Callithrix jacchus: one gene and its partner. The protein of the gene in region 1 purifies or fractionates together with the protein of each later gene. This does not show direct contact. Links are inferred from orthologs where the notes say so. Each region holds a gene or a part of one and is shown on either strand. Other genes may lie near its edges.

Region 1 (9,947 bases):
ACAGTGGAAAATTCCACACTTGACCTCATGTGACAGGTGGCAGTCAAAAATGCAGGTACACAGTACACAGTTTATTCAGCATTCCCAAGGGGAAAAAAGACACTCCCAGCCCCCTTCAGCTGCGATACCTATTTTCCACTCACACTCAGATTCTTCCACAAAAGCATGCCCATAAGAGGTAACATGAGGCCAGGCACAGTGGCTCACACCTGTAGTCCCAGCACTTTGGAAGGTTGAGGTGGGTGGATTACCTGAGGTCAGGAGTTCAAGACCAGCCTGATCAACCTGGCAAAGCCCCATCCCTACTAAAAATAAATTAGCCAGGTGTGGTGGCACATGCCTATAATCCTAGCTACTTGGGAGGCTTAGGCAGGAGAATCGCTTGAACCTGGGAGGCAGAGGTTGCAGAGAGCCGAGATTCTGCCACTGCACTCCAGGCTGGGTGACAGAGCAAGATTCCATCTTAAAAAAAAAAAAAAGTTAACATGATGGCACATTTGCAGGCTAGACATGCCAACTGCAGGTTGTTCCCCACCTGCCTCAAAGAGGACGGAGATCTATGCACATCACTCACATAGGTTTTTTAACTATTATTTTCTGTTCTGTGGTGTAAAGATATTGTTCAAAGTATAAAGAGAGCCCTGCAGATAGCCCTGTGAGTAACAGTGATGAGAAGAAGAGGAAGCAGGCCAGGCGAGGTGGCTCACGCCTGTAATCTTAACACTTTGGGAGGCTAAGGCAGGTGGATCACTTGAGGTCAGGAGTTCAAGACCAGCCTGGCCAACATGGCGAAACCCTGTCTCTACCAAAAATACAAAAATTAGCTGGGTGTGGTGGCAGGCACCTATAATCTCAGCAACTTGGAAGGTTGAGGTAGGAGAATTGCTTGAACCCAGGATGCAGAGGTTGCAGTAACCCTAGATGGCGCCACTGCATTCCAGTCTGGGTGACAGAGCGAGACTGTCTCAAAAAAGAAAAAGAGAAAGCAGTTATGTTTATTGCACAGAAAGTCAAGTTGCTGGAGAAACTGGACAGCAGCGTAGGTGTGAAATGTCCTACAGAAGAGTATGGTGTTGGCATGAACACCATAGATGACCTGAAGAAACAGAAGGATAAACTGGTGAAGTTCGATACTGAATATGATGAACAGAAGTTAATGAAAAACAGAAAATGCATAAAGCGTGAAAAATGAAGATCTCGACTGTGTATTGAAAGAATAGATCCAGAGGCTGGGCACGGTGGCTCACGCCTATAATCCCAGCACTTTGGGAGGCCAAGGTGGGCGGATCACGAGGTCAGCAGTTCCAGACCAGCCTGGCCAATATGGCGAAACCCCATTTCTACTAAAAATGTAAAAATTAGCCGGGCGAGATGGCACACACCTGTAATCCCAGCTACTTGGGGAACTGAGGCAGGAGAATCGCTTGAACCTGGGAGGCGGATGTTGTAGTGAGCAGACATTGTGCCACTGCACTCTAGCATGGGCAACAGAGTGAGACTCCATCTCAAAAAAAAAAAAAAGAGTAAATCCATTTGGCTGGGCACAATGGCTTACACCTGTAGTCCCAGCACTTTGGGAGGCCAAGGTGGGCAGATCACTTGAGGTCAGGAGTTCGAGACCAGCCTGACCAACATGGTGAAACCCCATCTCTGCTAAAAATACAAAAATTAGCCAGGCATGATGGCAGGTGCCTATAATCCCAGCTACTTGGGAAGCTGAAGCAGGAGAATTGCTTGAACCTGGAGGTTCAGTGAGTTGAGATCCTGCCACTGCACTCCAGCCTGGGCGACAGAGCAAGACTTCATTTCAAAAAATAAAAAAAGAGTAGATCCATTAGCATTGCACTGATGGATCTATCCAACATCATACTGGCATACTGAAGGCAACGAGCAAGATCTATCACGATTAATTGAAGGAAACTAAATATTCAACAGGCTGGTTGCAGAATTTTTTGGGGTGTGGGGACAGGGTCTCACTCTATCACCCAGGCTGGAATGCAGTAGTGTAAATGTGGCTCACTGTAGACTCAGCCTCCTAGGCTCGAGTGATCCTCCCACCTCAGCCTCCCAAAGGAGCTGGGAACACACACACACACACACCCCCATCATGCAGGGTCTTGCCATGTTGCCCAGGCTGGTCTTGAACTCCTAGGCTCAAGCCAACCTTCCCATTTTGGCCTCCCAAACTGCTACCGGTATGAGCCACTGCACCTGGCTGGTTGCAGAAATTTAAGAAGAGACATGACATTACATTTATAAACATTTATAGGCCAGGCACGGTGGCTCATGCCTATAATCCCAGCACTTTGGGAGGTTAGGGTGGGAGGATTACTTGAGGTCAGGAGTTGGAGACCAGCCTGGCCAACATGTCAAAACCCTGTCTCTACTTAAAAACAAAACAAAACAAAAGTTAGCCAGGCATGGTGGTGGACGCCTTTACAGGGAGTCCACCTTGGACTTTGGGAGGCCAAGGTAGGTGGATCACTTGAGGTCAGGAGTTGGAGACCAGCCTGACCAATAGGGTGAAACCCTGTCTCTACTAAAAATACAAAAATTAGCCGGGCCTGGTTGTGCATGCCTGTAATCCCAGCTACTCGGGAGGCTGAGGCAGGAGAATTGCTTGAACCTGGGAGGCAGAGGTTTTAGTGAGCTGCAATCATGCCACTGCACTCCAGCCTGGGTGACAGAGAGAGACTTTGTCTCAAAAAAAAAAAAAAAAGAAAAGAAAATGCATGATGGGCTTATTGAAGGACAAGAGAAGTATGCATTCCTAACAAAATGATAAACCATGTCTAAGGTAAAAACCACTGGTAATGAGGCAGATAAGCCCTGGCATGGCGGTTCATGCCAGTAATCCCAGTACTGAAAGGCTGAGGTGGGAGAATCGCATGAGTCCAGGAGTTGGAGACCAGCCTGGGCAACATGGAAAGATCCCATCTCTACACAAAATTTTAAAAATTAGCTGGGCTTGGTGGCGTGCACCTGTGGTCCTAGCTACGTGGGAGGCTGAGGTGGGAGGATCATGTGACCCCAGGAGGTCGTGTCTGCAGTGAGCCATGATCACACCACTGCAGTTCTGCCTGGGCAACAGAGCAAGACCCTGCCTCAATAAAAAAGGGCGGATGACTCTGGAGGAAATATTTTAAAAAGCCATCCAAGAGAATGCCTCCTTTTCCCTAGGGGGACCCACTTCCTGCTCCCTCCAACTGCTCCTGATGTTTCTTCTCAACCTAAAAAAAATACAGTGTACAGTAACCTTTTGATCAAAACCCTGCATCGTAAGTGGAGACTGAAAGCCTGCCATTTGTGGTTGCTGTTTTTTGTTTTTATTTTTTGAGACAGGGTCTCAGTCACCCAGGCTGGAGTGCAGTGGTGTGATCTCGGCTCACTGCAAGCTTCCTCTCCCTGGTTCAAGCGATTCTCCTGCCTCAGCCTCCCGAGTAGCTGGGATTACAGGCGTGCACCACCAGGCCCGGCTAATTTTTATATTTTTAGTAGAGACTGGGTTTCACCCTGTTGATCAGGCTGGTCTCAAACTCCTGACCTCTACTGATCCACATGCCTTGGCCTCCCAGAGTGCTGGGATTACAGGTGTGAGCCACGGTACCTGGTCTGGTGTTGGTGGGGAAGGGTCACCATTGTTTTACAGCTGATCCAGGTTTTCTGGTGATGCTCCTCTGCTGCTTAGTTACCCTGAACTTCTTCACTGTATTAATGACATAACATATATTTTGCTGTTAAGTACTTATGTATGAATAAGCATAATAAATTATTGCTTATTAGTAGCATATATATTTAGAGTCTGGAACAATGGTTATGCCAACCAACCAGAGTGTCCACAAGGGTGGCTGATAGTAACACCTTTGCTTTCTCATGGTTCAAGGTACACAAACTTTCTTAAAATATTGTATAAAATTACCTTCAGGGTATGTGTATAAGTTATGTATAGAACATAAATTAATTTATTGTTCAGAGTTGGGCCCCATCCCCAAGATATTTCATTATGTTTATACAAATATTCTAAAATCCAGAAAAATCCCAAATCCAAAAAAGTCTGGTCCCAGCGTTTTCAGATTAGGAATACTCACCCTGTAGTAATTTGCCCAAGGTCACATAGCTACTAGCTGGTCGAGACGGGGCCACATCTGCCTGTCTTCAAGCTCGGGACTCTTAAGCCACCATTCTGTTCCGTTTGCATAAATTCTATTTGTGCCAGGCGTGGTGGCTCACGCCTGTAATCCCAGCACTTTGGGAGGCCAAGGCAAGTGGATCGTTTGAGGTCAGGAGCTTGAGACCAGCCTGACCAACATGGTGAAACCCCATCTCTACTAAAAAAAAAAAAAAAAAAAAAAATTAGACGGGTGTGGTGGTGCACACCTGTAGTCCCAGCTACTTGGGAGGCTGAGGCAGGAGAATCGCTTGAACCCGGAAGGCAAGAGGTCGCAGTGAGTCGAGATCACACCACTGCACTCCAGCCAGGGCAGAGCGAGACTCTGTCTCAATCAATCAATTGTACGGGTTTACATTGTTACAGAATAAATTTGCATCATTATTTGCATGATTGATTTAATGTAGTTTTGGCAGTCTCAATACACAAGGACCACCAGCTCCTGACACTGGGAAGAGAGAACGTCCTCGAGGTCCGGAAACTCAAGAACTTGCTGATTCAGGGAGCTTTCAAAAACTATTTTTGGAAAACCCAGATCCAGGTCTTCAGCCGGCTTCACCTGCAGTTCTAGCACTACCCACAAGGGGGAAGCCGACGCTGCACTGCGCTGCCAAATGTGCCTCTCTTCCTCTTCATCTCTGTGGTTAGCCTGGGAAAAGAACCCGCCTCCTAGCCCATGAGGCCCTGGGCCGGAGGCTCTACTTTCTCTTCCTGTTCTCCATCATGGCGGTGAGTAGCTGGGAGTTGGATTTGCTTTTCTTGATCCGCCTCCATCCATGGCAGGCCGAGTCTGCGGGGGCTACCTCGCCCGCAGCCCGAAGAGTATGGAGCCCGCAATGCTTGCCAGCCCAAGGCTGGCAGAGCCGTTAGGGCCAAGGACGCAGGGTTGAAGCCTATCAAGCCCCCTGCCACCGTTCTAGGAGCTGTTCCGGGCAGTTAGTCGGAGAGCTCAGAAGCACAGCTACTAGGCTGCGGCGAAGGCATATGGGGTGAATAGGGGGTTCTAAGGCAGGGCGTTCGGGGCTTTTCCTGGTCCCAGGCACTTGAGATTACTCGGTGCTGGGAAACTTTAACCGGTTCCTCCGCTTAGGGAAGGCGCCAACCTTCAGACAGCTTCCGAAAGGGATTCAGGACGTTGCGTAACCACGTGCTTCCTGTTAACTCCGCAATTACCTTCTGTTCCCTCACTTAACTCCCTTTAGTTGGTCTTACAGTGGGGGCACTCTTTGTTACCCTGAGCCTCTTAGGGTTCGATCTCGAGTATCCTGAGTTTCTCTTCACCCGTTCCTTTCGTGGAGGAAGAATGGGTCCGGAGCTGACTTCCTTGATGCCTCCCAAACACGTTGATGCCCTTTAAACGTTTAGGATTTTCGTTACGATTTGGGATGAGCAGAAATTAAAATGCTAGGCAGATAGAAGTAGAAACTCAGGGCTGTCAGCTGTGAGTGTATTGACTGCTGCTCTTCCCTGTTGCAGCAGGATCAAGGTGAAAAGGAGAACCCCATGCGGGAACTTCGCATCCGCAAGCTCTGTCTCAACATCTGTGTTGGGGAGAGTGGAGACAGACTGACCCGAGCTGCCAAGGTGTTGGAACAGCTCACAGGGCAGACCCCTGTGTTTTCCAAAGGTGAGTAGTGACAAGGACATACAGGGCTGGCCACTCGGTCACCTGGTTATTTTTTAATTTACTTGCTTTAGAGTCTGTTTAGAAAGTGACAGTTCGCATCACTTACAGCATTGAACTCATGAGCCAACCAAGAAGTGTCTTTCAAGATTGGGTGTGGGATTGGAACATTGGATTTTATATGAGCAGATCTTAAGCTAAGACTAGCCCAAGTAACCAGGATATGAGATAGAGTGGAGTTGTCAGGAATGAAGTAAAGATGATTAGGTTTGATTTGCAGTTAGGGTTATATAGGCTGCAAAAAGAACAGGGCATCTCAAAAGTTATATACTGGGCTGGGTGCGGCAGTGGCTCAAGCCTGTAATCCAAGCACTTTGGGAGGCCAAGGCGGGTGGATCAAGAGATCGAGACCATCCTGGTCAACATGTTGAAACCCCGTCTCTACTAAAAATACAAAAAATTAGCCGGGCATGGTGGCGCGTGCCTGTGATCCCAGCTACTCAGGAGGCTGAGGCAGGAGAATTGCTTGAACCCAGGAGGCGGAAGTTGTGGTGAGCCGAGATCACGCCATTGCACTCCAGCCTGGGTAACAAGAGTGAAACTCCCTCTCGAAAGAAAAAAAAAGTTGTATACCTAGATTGCCTGGATTTGAGTGATGGCTTCGCTCTCTGAGCTCTCTGGACCTCTGCCTTTTTATTTCCATGAAGAGGGTAATTCTTTATAATTGTGGAAGGTAAAATGAATTGTATGTGTGCAGTTGCCTTAGGGCAGTGAAATATGGAAAGCCTTTGGATTCAGCCTTTGATTTCATTACCAGCTGTGATGTTTGGCAAGTTAATAAACTTCTCAAAACTTAACCTGCTGAAGGATGGCTGGATGTCTGGAAATTGGAAAATCTGTGCTGTGGATGAAATCTTATTAATAGATGTAGGCAACACTAATTAGAACACCACAACATAGAGTGCGGAGGAGTACATAATGTCTCTGAGCCATGGAGATAGTGTTCTGGGAAAGAGGTGAGTGTAGTGGGGGTATGATGGCATCTGACTCCTTGTTACCCCCTTTCTGCAGCTAGATACACTGTCAGATCCTTTGGCATCCGGAGAAATGAAAAGATTGCTGTCCACTGCACAGTTCGAGGGGCCAAGGCAGAAGAAATCTTGGAGAAGGGTTTAAAGGTGAGGCTGATCCCGTAATGGAGTGATATTGATCAGCACCCCCTTAGTAACATGTAGATAAGTTACATTTAATGTTCTGTTCTTTGGTGCCTTGATATTTATTAACCTTCTAAAAGGGTTTTTCTGCAATCATCAGGGTTAACTATTCTTGGTGGTTTAAAAGATGCTTGGGGCCAGACACAATGACTCAGCTCTATAATCCCAGCACCAGCTGAGAGCCACGTGGATCACTTGAGGCCAGGAGTTTGAGACCATCCTGGCCAATGTGGTGAAACCCCGTCTCTGTTAAAAATATAAAAATTGGCCAAGCTTGGTGATGGACACCTATAGTCCCGGCTACTCGGGAGGCTGGGGCATGAGGATTGCTTGAACCTGGGATGTAGAGGCAGAGGTTGCAGTGAGCTGAGATCGTGCCACTGCGTTCCAGCCTAGGCCACAGAATGAGACTTTTGTCTTAAAAAAAAAAAAAGATGTGCGGGGTGTGGTGACTCACGCCTGCAATCCCAGCACTTTGAGAGGCCGAGACGGGCAGATCATGAGGTCAAGAGATCGAGACCATCTGGCAAACATGGTGAAACCCTGTCTCTTCTAAAAATACAAAAATTAGCTGGGCATGGTGGCTCATGCTTGTAGTCCCAGCTACTTGGGAGGCTGAGGCAGGAGAATTGCTTGAACCCAGGAGGCGGAGGTTGAAGTGAGCCAAGATTGCGCCACTGCCCTCCAGCCTGGCGACAGAGCAAGACTCTGTCTCAAAAAAAAAAAAAAAAAAAAGATGCTTGGGAGTCATTTCATGCCTCTGCTTTCTCTGGGTTTTTCTCGGCCTTTTGGAAGCTGGGAGAGGTCATATTGGATAGTTGGGGTGTGAATCCGTAGTCTGGGTGTAGTGAAGAAGTTAGATTATGCTCCCAGCCAAGTTTCATCAGCCTTTGTTTTTGCTTTGGGGTGCATATTGCAGGTTGAGCTATTTGGGCATTTGGGGGTGGGAGGGTGTTGAAGATGATAAGGAATGTTGTTATTGCTGCATTTTGCTCCGCAGGTGCGGGAGTATGAGTTAAGAAAAAACAACTTCTCCGATACTGGAAACTTTGGTTTTGGGATTCAGGAACACATTGATCTCGGTATCAAATATGACCCAAGCATTGGTATCTACGGCCTGGACTTCTATGTGGTATGAATATTTAATTTTTTCCAGCTCCAGGTCTGTGAGGAGAGGGGAATCTTTATTTCATATGTGGTATGTTGGTGTTCACATGTTGGGTTGCAGCTTTGAGTATTGTTTGCCTTTGTGCTCTCCCCCTTGGGAAAATGTGCCTCGTTTGTGGCAAGTGTAGGGGTGCAGCACTGAAGAAGATGCACAAGATCCCTGCTGTTGGGGAGCTTGCAGTCGAGGATCTATAAAGCATTCAAATGGCTTAAAGGTGGATGAAGGAAACTGTTCCATCCAGCCAGTGATTTGAAACTTTGGAGAGAGGCAGTATTGGTGCTGCGTTTGGCCTGTGGGTTGCCTGCACTGAGGCTGTTTTTTCCCCTGGTTCGTCCAATAGAAACAGCTTTGGGTGATGCAGTGGTTTGCTCAGGAATGGGGTTTTAACATAGAAATGACCTTTTGTGTTACTGCAGTATTATAGTCTAGCAGTAAAACTGAATAGCCTAAATCAGAAGTTATGAGTAGCGTGGAACCTGGAAAATGCTGGCACCCTCATTAGACTTGAACGCCCAAACAAGTAATAAGAATTGGATACTCACAGGAGGTTGGAGGGACAGCACACCTTTGGGAAGCACATTTGAGCTGAAGCAGAAGGAAGAAAATATATGTTTGTGCTTCTTGGAGTTTTATGTTTTCTACACTGCTGGTGTGGCAATAGATTTATAAATGTTATTTTTAAAAAGAAAAGTTTCGGAGATTAGGGAGCAGTAATGAAGGTTCCTCAGCACCATTGGAAGATGGTTTTGGGGAGGGGGGTGCTGAGAGTTGCAGCCTCCAAAGCAAACCTCTATAGTATGGCCGTGTGTTGTGTGAGATGCTGGTGCCGGTTCTGTCAGACACAGATTGTGGGTCTTGCTCCAGAATTCATTGAACTGCCAGTGACTCTTGAAGATCTGTCTGCAATGTGTGAATCTTGTCCATCTGCTCTTGACTCTGAGCTGGCTAGGTGACTTTTGGTTATTCCTGGGACAGGTGCTGGGTAGGCCAGGTTTCAGCATCGCAGACAAGAAGCGCAGGACAGGCTGCATTGGGGCCAAACACAGAATCAGCAAAGAGGAGGCCATGCGCTGGTTCCAGCAGAAGGTAAAGCTGATTTCTCTCAAGTGAAGTGGTGGAATGTGCTGTTGGTGAATGGAGTTGGGATTTGGGAATGCAAAGTATAGTACGGTTTGGTGGGTATCTTTAAAGTTAGAGTATTGGGCACCTTTGCAAATCAGGGGCTTCCAGGGATGATGGTTTAAAAGAACATCCAGAACTAGGCCTTCTCCCACCTAAATGGGGGTAGTTGGAAGGGGAGGAATACAGCTTTAAAAAAGGACCCCCCTTTCTTAGATGATAGGGCAGTTCAGCACAGTGTAAAAACCAGCCAGCTTCCTATTTAGTCCAGAAAAGGATGGGATTCAGACTGAAAGTTCATGTATCAATCAGATTTAAATTCTCAAATGTTAGCCATTGCTGCAATCTCTGCTGTTGCCTCCTGTTCTGAAAAAAATTAAATCTCTTCTCTTTCAGTATGATGGGATCATCCTTCCTGGCAAATAAATTCCCGTTTCTGTCCAAAAGGCCAATCAATAAAAAGTTTTCAGTGAAATGTACAGTTCTGTTGTGTGTTCTGTGAAAGGATCCTGGCCATATTCAAGTCCTTGGACCTCAAGCCACTTAAAGCTTCGATGGGAGTAGCTGGTAACAACCCTGTCGTCCTCTGGTTGGATGCCAGTACTTCCTGGCAGATCAAGTCCAAGCTTCGTAGCATTGCCTGTGCTCGCCACA
Region 2 (10,117 bases), on another chromosome or scaffold:
CCATCCCTCCCTCTGGGGTGCGCAGGTCTCTTCCAGGCTTCCCTGCTTCCATGCTCACCAGCCCCTTTCACGTAGGTGCCGGAGGGATCGTTTTAAAAACCAACCACAGGCCGGGCACGGTGCCTCACGCCTGTAACCTCAGCATTTTGTGAGGCCGAGGTGGGCGGATCACCTGAGATCAGGAGTTCAAGACAAGCCTGCCCAACATGGTGAAACCCATCTCTTTATACTAAAGAGAAAAATCAGCCAGGTCTGGTGGCTCATGCCTGTAGTCCCAGCTACTCAGAGGCTGAGGAGGCAGAGGCCGTGGTGAACTGAGATCGCACCACTGCACTCCAGCCTGGACAACAGAGAGAGACTCCCTCTAACAAGATAAATTTAAAAATAGGATGGGCGCGGTGGCTCACACCCGTAATCCCAGCACTTTGGGAGGCTGAGGTGGGTGGATCACCTGTCGTCAAGAGTTCGAGACCAACCTGGCCAACATGGTGAAACCCCATCTCAAATCTCTGCTTCTACTAAAAATACAAAACTTAGCCAGGGATGGTGGCTCACACCTGTAACTTCAGCTACTCAGGAGGCTGAGGCAGAATCGCTTGAACCAGGGAGGTGGAGGTTGCGGTGAGCCAAGACTGCACCACTGCTCCGGCCTGGGTGACAGAGCGAGACTCCATCTCAAAAATAATAATAAAAGTAGTAAAAGGCCAGGCACAGTGGCTCACGCCTGTAATCCCAGCATTCTGGGAGGCTGAGGCAGGCAGATCACGAGGTCAGGAGTTTGAGACCAGTCTGGCCAATATGGTGAAACCCTGTCTCTACTAAAAATACAAAAGTAGCTGGGTGTGGTGGTGCACTCCTATAACCACAGCTACTCGGGAGGCTGAGGCAGGAGAATCGCTTGAACCAGGGAGGTGGAGATTGCCATGAGCCGAGATTGTGCCATCGTACTCCAGCCTGAACAAAAAGAGTGGAACTCCCTCTCAAAAAAAAAAAAAATTAGCCAGGTGTGGTGGTGGACGTCTGTAATCCCAGGTACCTGGGTTGGCGGGGAGGCTGAGGCAGAAGAATCACTTGAACCTGGGAGGTGGAAGTTGCAGTGAGCTGAGACCTCAGATCACACCACTGTACTCCAGCCTGGGTGACAGAGCGAGACTCCCGTCTGCAAAAAAAAAAAAAAAAAAATCCACTTGTAGGTCACAGTGGCTCACACCAGTAATCCTACCACTTTGAGCCACCAAGGCAGGAGGACTGCTTAAGGCCAGAAGTTTGAGACCAGCCTGAGAAACACAACAAGGCTCCATCTCTACAAAAGATTAAATTACAGGCCAGGCACAGTGGCACAGGCTGTAATCCCAGCACTGTGGGAGGCCGAGACGGGTGGATCACCTGAGGTCAGGAGTTGGAGAGCAGCCTGGATGACATGGCAAGATCCTGTCTCAAAAAAATATATATATACATGTAAAAATTATAAAAAATAAAAATTGACTTGTAATTGCTGCTCATCCAAGTGTAAATTCTGGGCAGCCTGCATCTGTGCTCCCAGGTCGCAATCCTCAAGCCTGGCCCACGTAAACATCTCTCTACTTACATTAGACTTTGGGACTTCCATTTAGGTAGATACTTGAAATTTGAAAATAAGCTGCATGAAAGAGACCAGACAAAAAGCAAAATACCGTATGATTTCACTCTTATCTGAAGGGTGTTCTCGTCAGAATCATGGGAACGGAAAGTAGAATGGTGGTTATCAAGGGCTGGGGGAGCAGGGAACAGGAATTTAATGGGTACAGAGTTTGTTTGGGATAAAAAAAAAAAAGTGAGAAGGGGCCAGGCACAGTGGCTTGTGCCTGTTATTCCAGCACTTTGGGAGGCTAAGGCGGGCAGATCACCTGAGGTCAGGAGGTTAAGACCAGACTAGACAACATGGTGAAACCCTGTCTCTACTAAAAATACAAAAATTAGGCAGGTGTGGTGGTAGATGCTTGTAGGCCCAGCTACTAGGGAGGCTGAGGCAGGCAAACTGCTTGAACCCTGGAGGCGGAGGTTGCAGTGAGCAAAGATCACGCCACTGCACTCCAGCTTGGACAATAGTGAGACTACTCAAAAAAAAAAAAAAAAAAAAGTTGGTATGGACGGTGGCACACCAATGTGAAGGGACCGGCTTAAGACACTGAATGGCTTCCCTTTGTAATTACATAAGTCCCATGCTGGCCAGGCATGGTGGCTCACACCTGTAACCCCAGCACTTTAGGAGGCCCAGGTGGGAGGATCACTTGAGCCCAATGTTGGGCAACCTCGTCTCTACCAAAAACACAAAAAATGTTGGCCGGGTGTGGTGGCTGAGGTGGGAGGACTACCTGAACGGCAGTTGAGGCTGCAGTGAGCTGTGATCGAGCCACTGCACTCCAGCCTGGGCGACAGAATGGGGCCCCGTCTCAAAAATTAAAAAATCCCATTGTTCCCAAGGTGGTTTCCCGCCTTTACCCCAGATGTGTGACTCTGAGCAAGAAAACCTTTCTGTACCCAACTTCCTCATCTACAAAGGGGTAATGAGGCCACTGAAGGCGACTGTGAAGTTCGAGTTCCAGTGCTTGATGGAACAAACCCCACTGTTGTTTGAGCTCCACTCGAGCTGGCGCTGCCTGCGTGGCACCTCAGGTATCCGCATCTGACCCCGGATATTGGCAGGGTCGGCTCCTTTTCATATTTTAGCTCAAGGACACTGCCATGTGCAAGCTTTCTCAGGCTGCCCAGACCAATTCCCTCTCTGTCCCTGTCCCTCGGATCGCTTCCTTCATTCGCTTCCTGTGTCCTCGCACACGAACTCAGTCCTTAGGAGGCAGGGCCAACCCTGTTCCCTCCCAGGACCCCAGGGTGTAGCAGGGTCCCTGATGCGCTGAGGTCCACATGGACACCGAGGTCAGTTCTGGGCCGAAGCGGCCGGCGCAGGGGCTGCCTACGCCTCCCAGGGGTGCGTGGCGACGCCGCCTCACGACATTCTCCTGGCCTCGCATGGCGGGGGCGGCCTCCCAGGTGGGGAGGCCGAGGCGCTGGCTCACCTCACTGAGCCCGGCTGGACATGGGACAACGGGTCGCCGCGGCCTGGGAATCACCAAAGATTCGGGGCGAGCTTATGGCCAGCAGCCTCTGCCCGGGCCCACGTGCAGTTCCGCGTAGGGCGGTGGCGCAGGCCACTTCCGGAAGCGGTGTACCATGGGACTTGTGGTTCGGGGGCAAAGGATACGTCCCCGGCGTGGGGGCCGCGCTGCATGTTGGGAGCTGTAGGCGTCGTGTGGCATGATGGGAGCCCCCGGTACAGAAGACAGATGCCGTCCCCTTGGGCTTGCTTGGCCCATCGCCCCACGAGTTTTGGGGGACATTCGCCCCACGCTATAAGAGCAGCCAGTTTCGGAACTACTACCCTTCGCCTTTGCCGCAGAAACTGCCTGAGAGAATAGGGAAGCGGGTGGGGGGGGGGTCAATGGTTTCTCCGTCGTCGTCATTGGCTGAGCGCCTCTTGACGTCACTCTTATGCGCCTCATGCGTCGCCGCGCGTGGGTCCCAGAGGCTTCTGGGTAGCGGTTTACCCCCGCCCCTTGCGTTGGCGCCTTCCTTTTCCTCCCTGACGCCGCCGAGTTCGCACGCGTGAGGCCGCCGCCGCTGCAGACGCCGCCGCGTGAGTGTGGGGGCCGGGCCCGGGGTGCGGGCTGGGGCTGGGGATGCGGGGCCGTTGGGCTGCGGGGGTGGGCGGCGGGCTGCGGGGCGGGGTTTTTCTGCGGCAGAGGCCTACGGGCCCAGCCACGCGCAACCTCGCCCGGGGCCCCGGGGTGGGCAGGCTGGAGGCCGCCGGGGTAACTCCGCCGTGGCGCCCTCTCCGTCCGCCTCAGGATGCGCTACGTCGCCTCCTACCTGCTGGCTGCCCTCGGGGGCAACCCTTCCCCGAGCGCCAAGGACATCAAGAAGATCCTGGACAGCGTCGGCATCGAGGCGGACGACGACCGGCTCAACAAGGTAGCTGCCGCCCCTGCCCCGCAGCCGTCGCGTGGCGCGTGGCCCGTACCGGGGGGGTCCTTCGGCCTGATCCGGCCTCATGCTGGAGGGTCCGGGGAGCGGCTGGTGCCAGTCCAGTTGGTGATTTATTGGGTAGAGAAGTAACCAGGGCGGGGGCCGGACGCGGTGCCTCAGGCCGGTAATCCCTGCACTCTGGGAGGCCGAGGCGGGCGGATCACCCGAGGTCAGGAGGGGTTCGAGACCATCCTGGTGAAACCCCCATCTCTACTAAAATGCAAACGTTAATCGGGTGTGGTGGTGGGCGCTTGTGATCCCAGCTGCTTGGCCGGCTGAGGCAGGAGACTCCAGCCGGGGTGATGGAGCAAGACTGTCTCAAAAGGAAAAAAAAGAAAAAAAAAAAAAGCAAGGCGGGTATGAGGCAAGGTCGGGACTAACGAGCTTTGGAAATTCAATACAGGTGAGATGCATGAGATTGCTTAAAAAACAGGCAGGCCGGGTGCGTGGCTCCCCCAGCACTTCGGGGGCCAATGCGGGTGGCTTATTGGAGCTCAGGCGTTCCACGCTAGCCTGGAAAACATCTCAAGACCGGGCCTCCTCGAAAGGTTAAAAAGAAGAAATTTCTATACTCAGAACCAACAATTAGAAATTAGTCAATGGTTCGAATCTGTAGCCCCAGTTATTCAGGAGGCTGAGGCGGGAGGATCATTGGAGTCTGGGAGGTCCAGGCTGCAGTGAGTAGTGATCACGCTACTGCAGTCCCACAGAGCCAGGTGCGGTGGCTCATCCTGCAGTCCCAGGCTGATGGAAGACTCACTTGAGGCCGGGATCCCATCAGTGCACTCCAGCCTGAAGTCAAAGCCAGTTTCAGTGCTGCCTTATTTTGCCCACGTTTAAGACAGATATGAATAGTCAGCGTATGCGGTGAGATGGTGTGTCCTCTCAGCGTTGAGTCTGAGAATGCTGCATTCCGTTTATCGTTGCACCACTTAACCAGCAAGGCTGGTGGCTCCCTTAGGGCAGCGCAGGTCCAGAAACTCCAGCGCGTATTCCCACGTGGTGTACCCAGTCCTGCTGTGACTCTGGAAGGGATCGGTAAGGCCAGGGCTGCAGTTGCACATTTCTCGTAGCAGCTGGGCGATTGTCTTCTCCAGGTTATCAGCGAGCTGAACGGAAAGAACATTGAGGACGTGATTGCCCAGGGTGAGTTTCTCTAGAGATGTTCGTTTTCATGGTCCATCCTAATCCCTGCTGGTCAGCCTGTGGCCTGCCAGGTTTCGCTTGTGGACCAGAGCACCCTAGAAGCCTCACCCAAGGAGTGAGCAGGGCTTCAGTGGGCTCACGGCATGGGCGCTTCTAGACACGCCAGGCGCAGGGCAGCAGGGGCACATGCTCTTACTGGACTTTCAGGTGGCCCTGAGGCCGTTTCCTAGGATTCCTCCGAAGCTTGGGATCTGGAGAACTGGGTTCACGTAAACGGTTCCACCCCGTGCTTTCTGTGAAGGGGTTGCCGGTGGGGACTAGGTGCCAGGGGTGACCACAGGCTTCTTGCCTCTTGGGCAGATGGTTTTCTGTTAACATCAGCTGAGCTGGTGGGACTTGTTTGGAAGTTGAGCTGTTGGGACAGCTGTTGCTGTCCTCTGCATATGACCAGGACAGGGCCAGCTCAGGAAACGGGCCAAGCCATGAGCACATCGCTGTGGCTGGAGATCTGGACGCTGTGGCAGCTTATTCATTCCCTACCTGCCCATAAACATGTTTGTCCAGTGGACCTCGGAGGGTGGAGGTGGGGAAAGTGGGGAGGTGGGCAGTGTCGCCTGATTCCTAGAAGGCGAGTCCCTGGGTAGGAAAGGTAGGAAAGAGAAGTCCCTGACAGTGAATGTTGAGGAGTGGCTGGGAAGGGAGGGTTCTGGAAGAACGGGAGGCACTGGAACCATATGGTGGGGCCCAGGTATGTTGGGCACTCTGTGCCATGCCTGGTTCCATCTAGCTTGTGTGTGGAACAGCCTCCCAGGCTGGGCAGCTGCTCTGATCTCGGCTTCTCTCTGTTTTCTGTAGGTATTGGCAAGCTTGCCAGCGTACCTGCTGGTGGGGCTGTGGCCATCTCTGCTGCCCCAGGCTCTGCAGCTCCTGCTGCTGGTTCCGCCCCCGCTGCCGGTAAGTGGGGGGCTTGGTGAGTGGGCAGAGGGCTGAGGCTCAGACTGTTGCTGTCGTGGGGTCTTCACTACTGTGGGAACTGGCCTGGCACTCGGGCAGTGCTCACCATGCTCTCTTTTCCACAGCAGAGGAGAAGAAAGATGAGAAGAAGGAGGAGTCTGAAGAATCAGACGATGACATGGGATTTGGCCTCTTTGATTAAACTGCTGCTCCCTTGCAAATAAAGCCTTTTTACACGTCTCTCAAGTATCCCATGAGCAGTTTGTCACAAGGTCGCCTGAGCACAGGTTCCCATCACGGGCGGCAGGTGTGCGGCACAAGCGTGGGTCACGCGGTTTTGGGGAAGGGTCTCTGGTGCAGGATGAGCAGGGGCTGGGGGGGCTGGGCATCACAGCTGCCAGGGGCCCATTCCTGTGGGCCTTAAACAGTGTCCAGGCTCCTGAGTACACCCGGAAAATTGCTAACAGGCTGGGCACAGTAGCTCGTGCCCATAATCCCAGCACTTGGGAGGCCGAAGAGGGAAGGTCACTTGAGGCAGGAGTTTGAGACCAACCATCTCTAAAAAACTAACCGGGCTTGGTGGTGTGTACCTGCAGTCCCAACTGTGAGAAGTTGAGGGGAAAGGGTCACTTGCCCAGGAGGTTGGAGTTACAGTGGGCCGGCATGGTGCCGCGGCACTCCGGCCGAGCTGCAGAAACACTGCTGTGGAACGGCAGAGAAGCTGATCTGAAACGGAGTCTGGGTAATCAGGGCTCTGTCCTTGTGTGGCTTGGTGCCCAGCCTTGCAAGGCCAGGATTGGTAGCCCCGGGCTTCACAAATGGATGCAGGAAGGGAGCCCAGCTTGGGGGCGGCAGCGCCTCTGGCTTCCCCTGCGGGGTCATGGCTCTGCCGTAATGCCCTGAGCACCTTGGGCAATCACTTAGTTCCTCCGGGCTTGTTTTTCTGCTGTTCCTGAGCCAACCCCTGCCTTACTGGGCAGATGTGCTCAGGGCTTGTGGGCCGTGACCACAGAGCCACGTGCCCACCGAACTGAGTCCTTTGGGGTAGGCCTGCCCTCCCCCCACAGGCTGTGGCCTAGAATATGGGGCTAAGGACAGAGGCCATCACCGTCCCCTCTCAGCCTCTCTGCCCTCCTGGCCCTACTCTGTACAAACTCTCCTGGGCCTCAGAGTCTTTGCCCACCAGTGTAGGCACCCCAGGAGATGATCTGCCCCTTCTACCCCGGGCTTGGGAGCAGCAGCCCATGGACTGGCTTTGGTGTGTGCACCTGCTACGTGAGCACTTCAGTTCTGGGAGGGTAAATGGGATCTAACAAGACAGCTGGAGTGGCTGGAGGTGCCTCCCTCAGATGGGGAGCCAAGACCTGGAGGAAGGCAGAGTCCCCAGAGGGGAGGGAATGGGGGTTGTGGGGGGAGCCAGGGAGCCACAGAGGGTCCTGAAATGGAGGGGGACCCAAAATGCTTTTATTTTTGAGATCAAGTTTCACTCTTGTTGCCCAGGCTGGCATGCAAAGGCACAGTCTTGGCTCACTGCAACCTCTGCCGCCCAGGTTCAAGTGATTCTACTGCCTCAGCCTCCCAAGTGGCTGGGATTACAGGTGCCTGCCACCACTCCTGGCTAGTTTTTTGTGTTTTTAGTAGAGGTGAGGTTTTGAACTCCTGACCTCAGGTGATCCGCCCATCTCAGCCTCCCAAAGTGCTGGGATCACAGGCGTGAGCCACCATGTCCAGCCCCAAAATGCTTTTAAAACATTCCATCTCAGGACCTTCTCCATGAGTTGCTGATCCCAAACCCAAGGTGGAAGGGGCAGGCCATCTCCTGGGGTACCTGTATTCCCAGCACTTGGGGAGGCCCAGGCAGGTGGATCACCTGAGGTCACGGGATCAGGACGAGCCTGGCTAGGGTGCCAAAAACCCCATCTCCATTAAAAATACAAAAATCTCACGCCTGTAATGCCAGCACTTTGGGAGGCTGAGGCGGGTGGATCACGAGGTCGAGAGGTTGAGACCATCCCGGTCAACATGGTGAAACCCCGTCTCTACTAAAAATACAAAAAATTAGCTGTGCATGGTGGTGCGTGCCTGTAATCCCAGCTACTCAGGAGGCTGAGGCAGGAGAATTGCCTGAACCCAGGAGGCGGAGGTTGTGGTGAGCTGAGATTGCGCCATTGCACTCCAGCCTGGGTGACAAGAGCGAAACTCCATCTCAAAAAAAAAAAATTTTTCCCCCGCAGATCATGACATATTTTCCAGAGATGCCTTTTTTTTTTTCTTTTTGAGATGGAGAGTCTTGCTCCAACCTCCTCCCAAGTAGCAGGAATTAACAGGCATGTGCACCGCGGCTGGCTAATTTTTGTACCTGGGATTACAGACACGCACCACTGTACCTGGCAAATTTTTTGTGTGTTTTTGGTAGAGACGGGGTTTCACGATGTTGGCCAGGCTGGTCTCAAACCCCTGACCTCAGGTGATCCACCCACCTCGGCCTCCCAAAGTGCTCAGATTATGGGTGTGAGCCACCGTCCCTGGCCTGGCTAGTGTGCAGTGGCTCAATCTCTGCTCACTGCAACCTCTGCCGCCCAGGTTCAAGCAAATCTCATGCCTCAGTTTCTCAAGTAGCTAGAATTACAGGCATGCACCACCACACCCCACTAATTTTTGTATTTTTTAGTAGAGACCAGGTTTCACCATGTTGACCAGGTTGGTCTCAAACTCCTGGCCTCAAATGATCCACCTGCCTCAGCCTCCCAAAGTGGTGGGATTACAGGCGTGAGCCACTGAGACCGCCTTACGTGTGTGTGTGTGTGTGTGTGTGTGTGTGTATTTTTTTGAGATAGCGTTTCACTCTTGTTGCCCAGGTTGGAGTGCAGTGGTGTGACCTTGGCTCACAGCAACCTCCACCTCCCGGGTTCAAGTGATTCTCCTGCCTCAGCCTCCTGAGTAGCTGAGATTACAGGCACCTTCCACCCTGCACAGCTGATGTTTGATGTTTTGTATTTAGTAGAGATAAGGTTTCACCGAGTTGATCAGACCCGTCTGGAACTCCTGACCTCAGGTGATCGACCCACCTCAGCCTCCCAAAGTGCTGGGATTGTAGGCATGCACCGCTGCACCCGGTGTATATTTTATTTTTTATTTTATCTTTTGAGTCAGAGTCTCCCTTCGTCGCCCAGGTTGGAGTGCAATGGTGCCATCTCTGCTCACCACAGCCTTGACCTCCCGGGCTCAAGTGATCCTCCCACGTCAGCCTCCAGAGTAGCTGGGACTACAGCTGCGCTCCACCACAGCCAACTAATTTTTGTATCTTTTTGTAGAGATGTGGTTTCACCCGCTGCTGCGGTGGCTCACGCCTATAATCCCAACACTTTGGGAGGCCGAGGCGGGTGGATCACGAGGTCAAGAGATCGAGACCATCCTGGTCAACGTGGTGAAACCCCATCTCTACTAAAAATACAAAAAATTAGCTGGGCACGGTGGGGTGTGCCTGTAATCCCAGCTACTCAGGAGGCTGAGGCAGGAGAATTGCCTGAACCCAGGAGGCGGAGGTTGCGGTGAGCCGAGATCGCGCCATTGTACTCCAGCCTGGGTAACAGGAGCCAAACTGTGTCTCAAAAAACAAAAGAAAAGCAGACTTATGAGTAAAGCCAGGTGAGGAGTGGAGGAGGCTAGAACGTGCATAGTAGGGGTGGGGCAGCAGAGGAGGAAGCAGAGAAATGACCGCAGCAGGGTGCAGCTAGGGAGTGCAGGGGAGCAGTGCTCCGTAGAAGGGGGCAGGGGTGAGGCTGGGGCACTGGTGGCCCAGGCTCAGGAAAGGGCCCCCTGCAGGAGTGGACCTAGGGTTCAGGGTGCATTCCTCACAGTTCCAGCCTTGGACCCTGAAGGGAGAGGGCCTGTGTCTGTTGCCTGGAGATCATGGGAATGGGGCGTGACACGGCCTGGGGTTTCTCATCTGGCC

What was found.
Region 2: the proteins of RPL11 (region 1) and RPLP2 purify together in Homo sapiens (affinity purification with mass spectrometry; 4 studies listed by BioGRID and IntAct, with this or other methods). This does not show direct contact. The link is inferred for Callithrix jacchus from reciprocal best matches to the Homo sapiens genes RPL11 and RPLP2.

Annotation. Positions count from the first base shown.
Region 1 is NC_133508.1:60,426,464-60,436,410, forward strand, and holds RPL11 (large ribosomal subunit protein uL5), read left to right. Parts: upstream 1-4,868; 5' UTR 4,869-4,891; coding exon 4,892-4,897; intron 4,898-5,644; coding exon 5,645-5,795; intron 5,796-6,863; coding exon 6,864-6,970; intron 6,971-8,006; coding exon 8,007-8,138; intron 8,139-9,149; coding exon 9,150-9,260; intron 9,261-9,689; coding exon 9,690-9,719; 3' UTR 9,720-9,768; downstream 9,769-9,947.
Region 2 is NC_133511.1:131,090,292-131,100,408, reverse strand, and holds RPLP2 (large ribosomal subunit protein P2), read left to right. Parts: upstream 1-3,608; 5' UTR 3,609-3,673; intron 3,674-3,884; 5' UTR 3,885-3,885; coding exon 3,886-4,008; intron 4,009-5,138; coding exon 5,139-5,208; intron 5,209-5,237; exon of another isoform or gene 5,238-5,371; intron 5,372-6,063; coding exon 6,064-6,162; intron 6,163-6,287; coding exon 6,288-6,364; 3' UTR 6,365-6,402; downstream 6,403-10,117. UniProt on the Homo sapiens protein: Plays an important role in the elongation step of protein synthesis.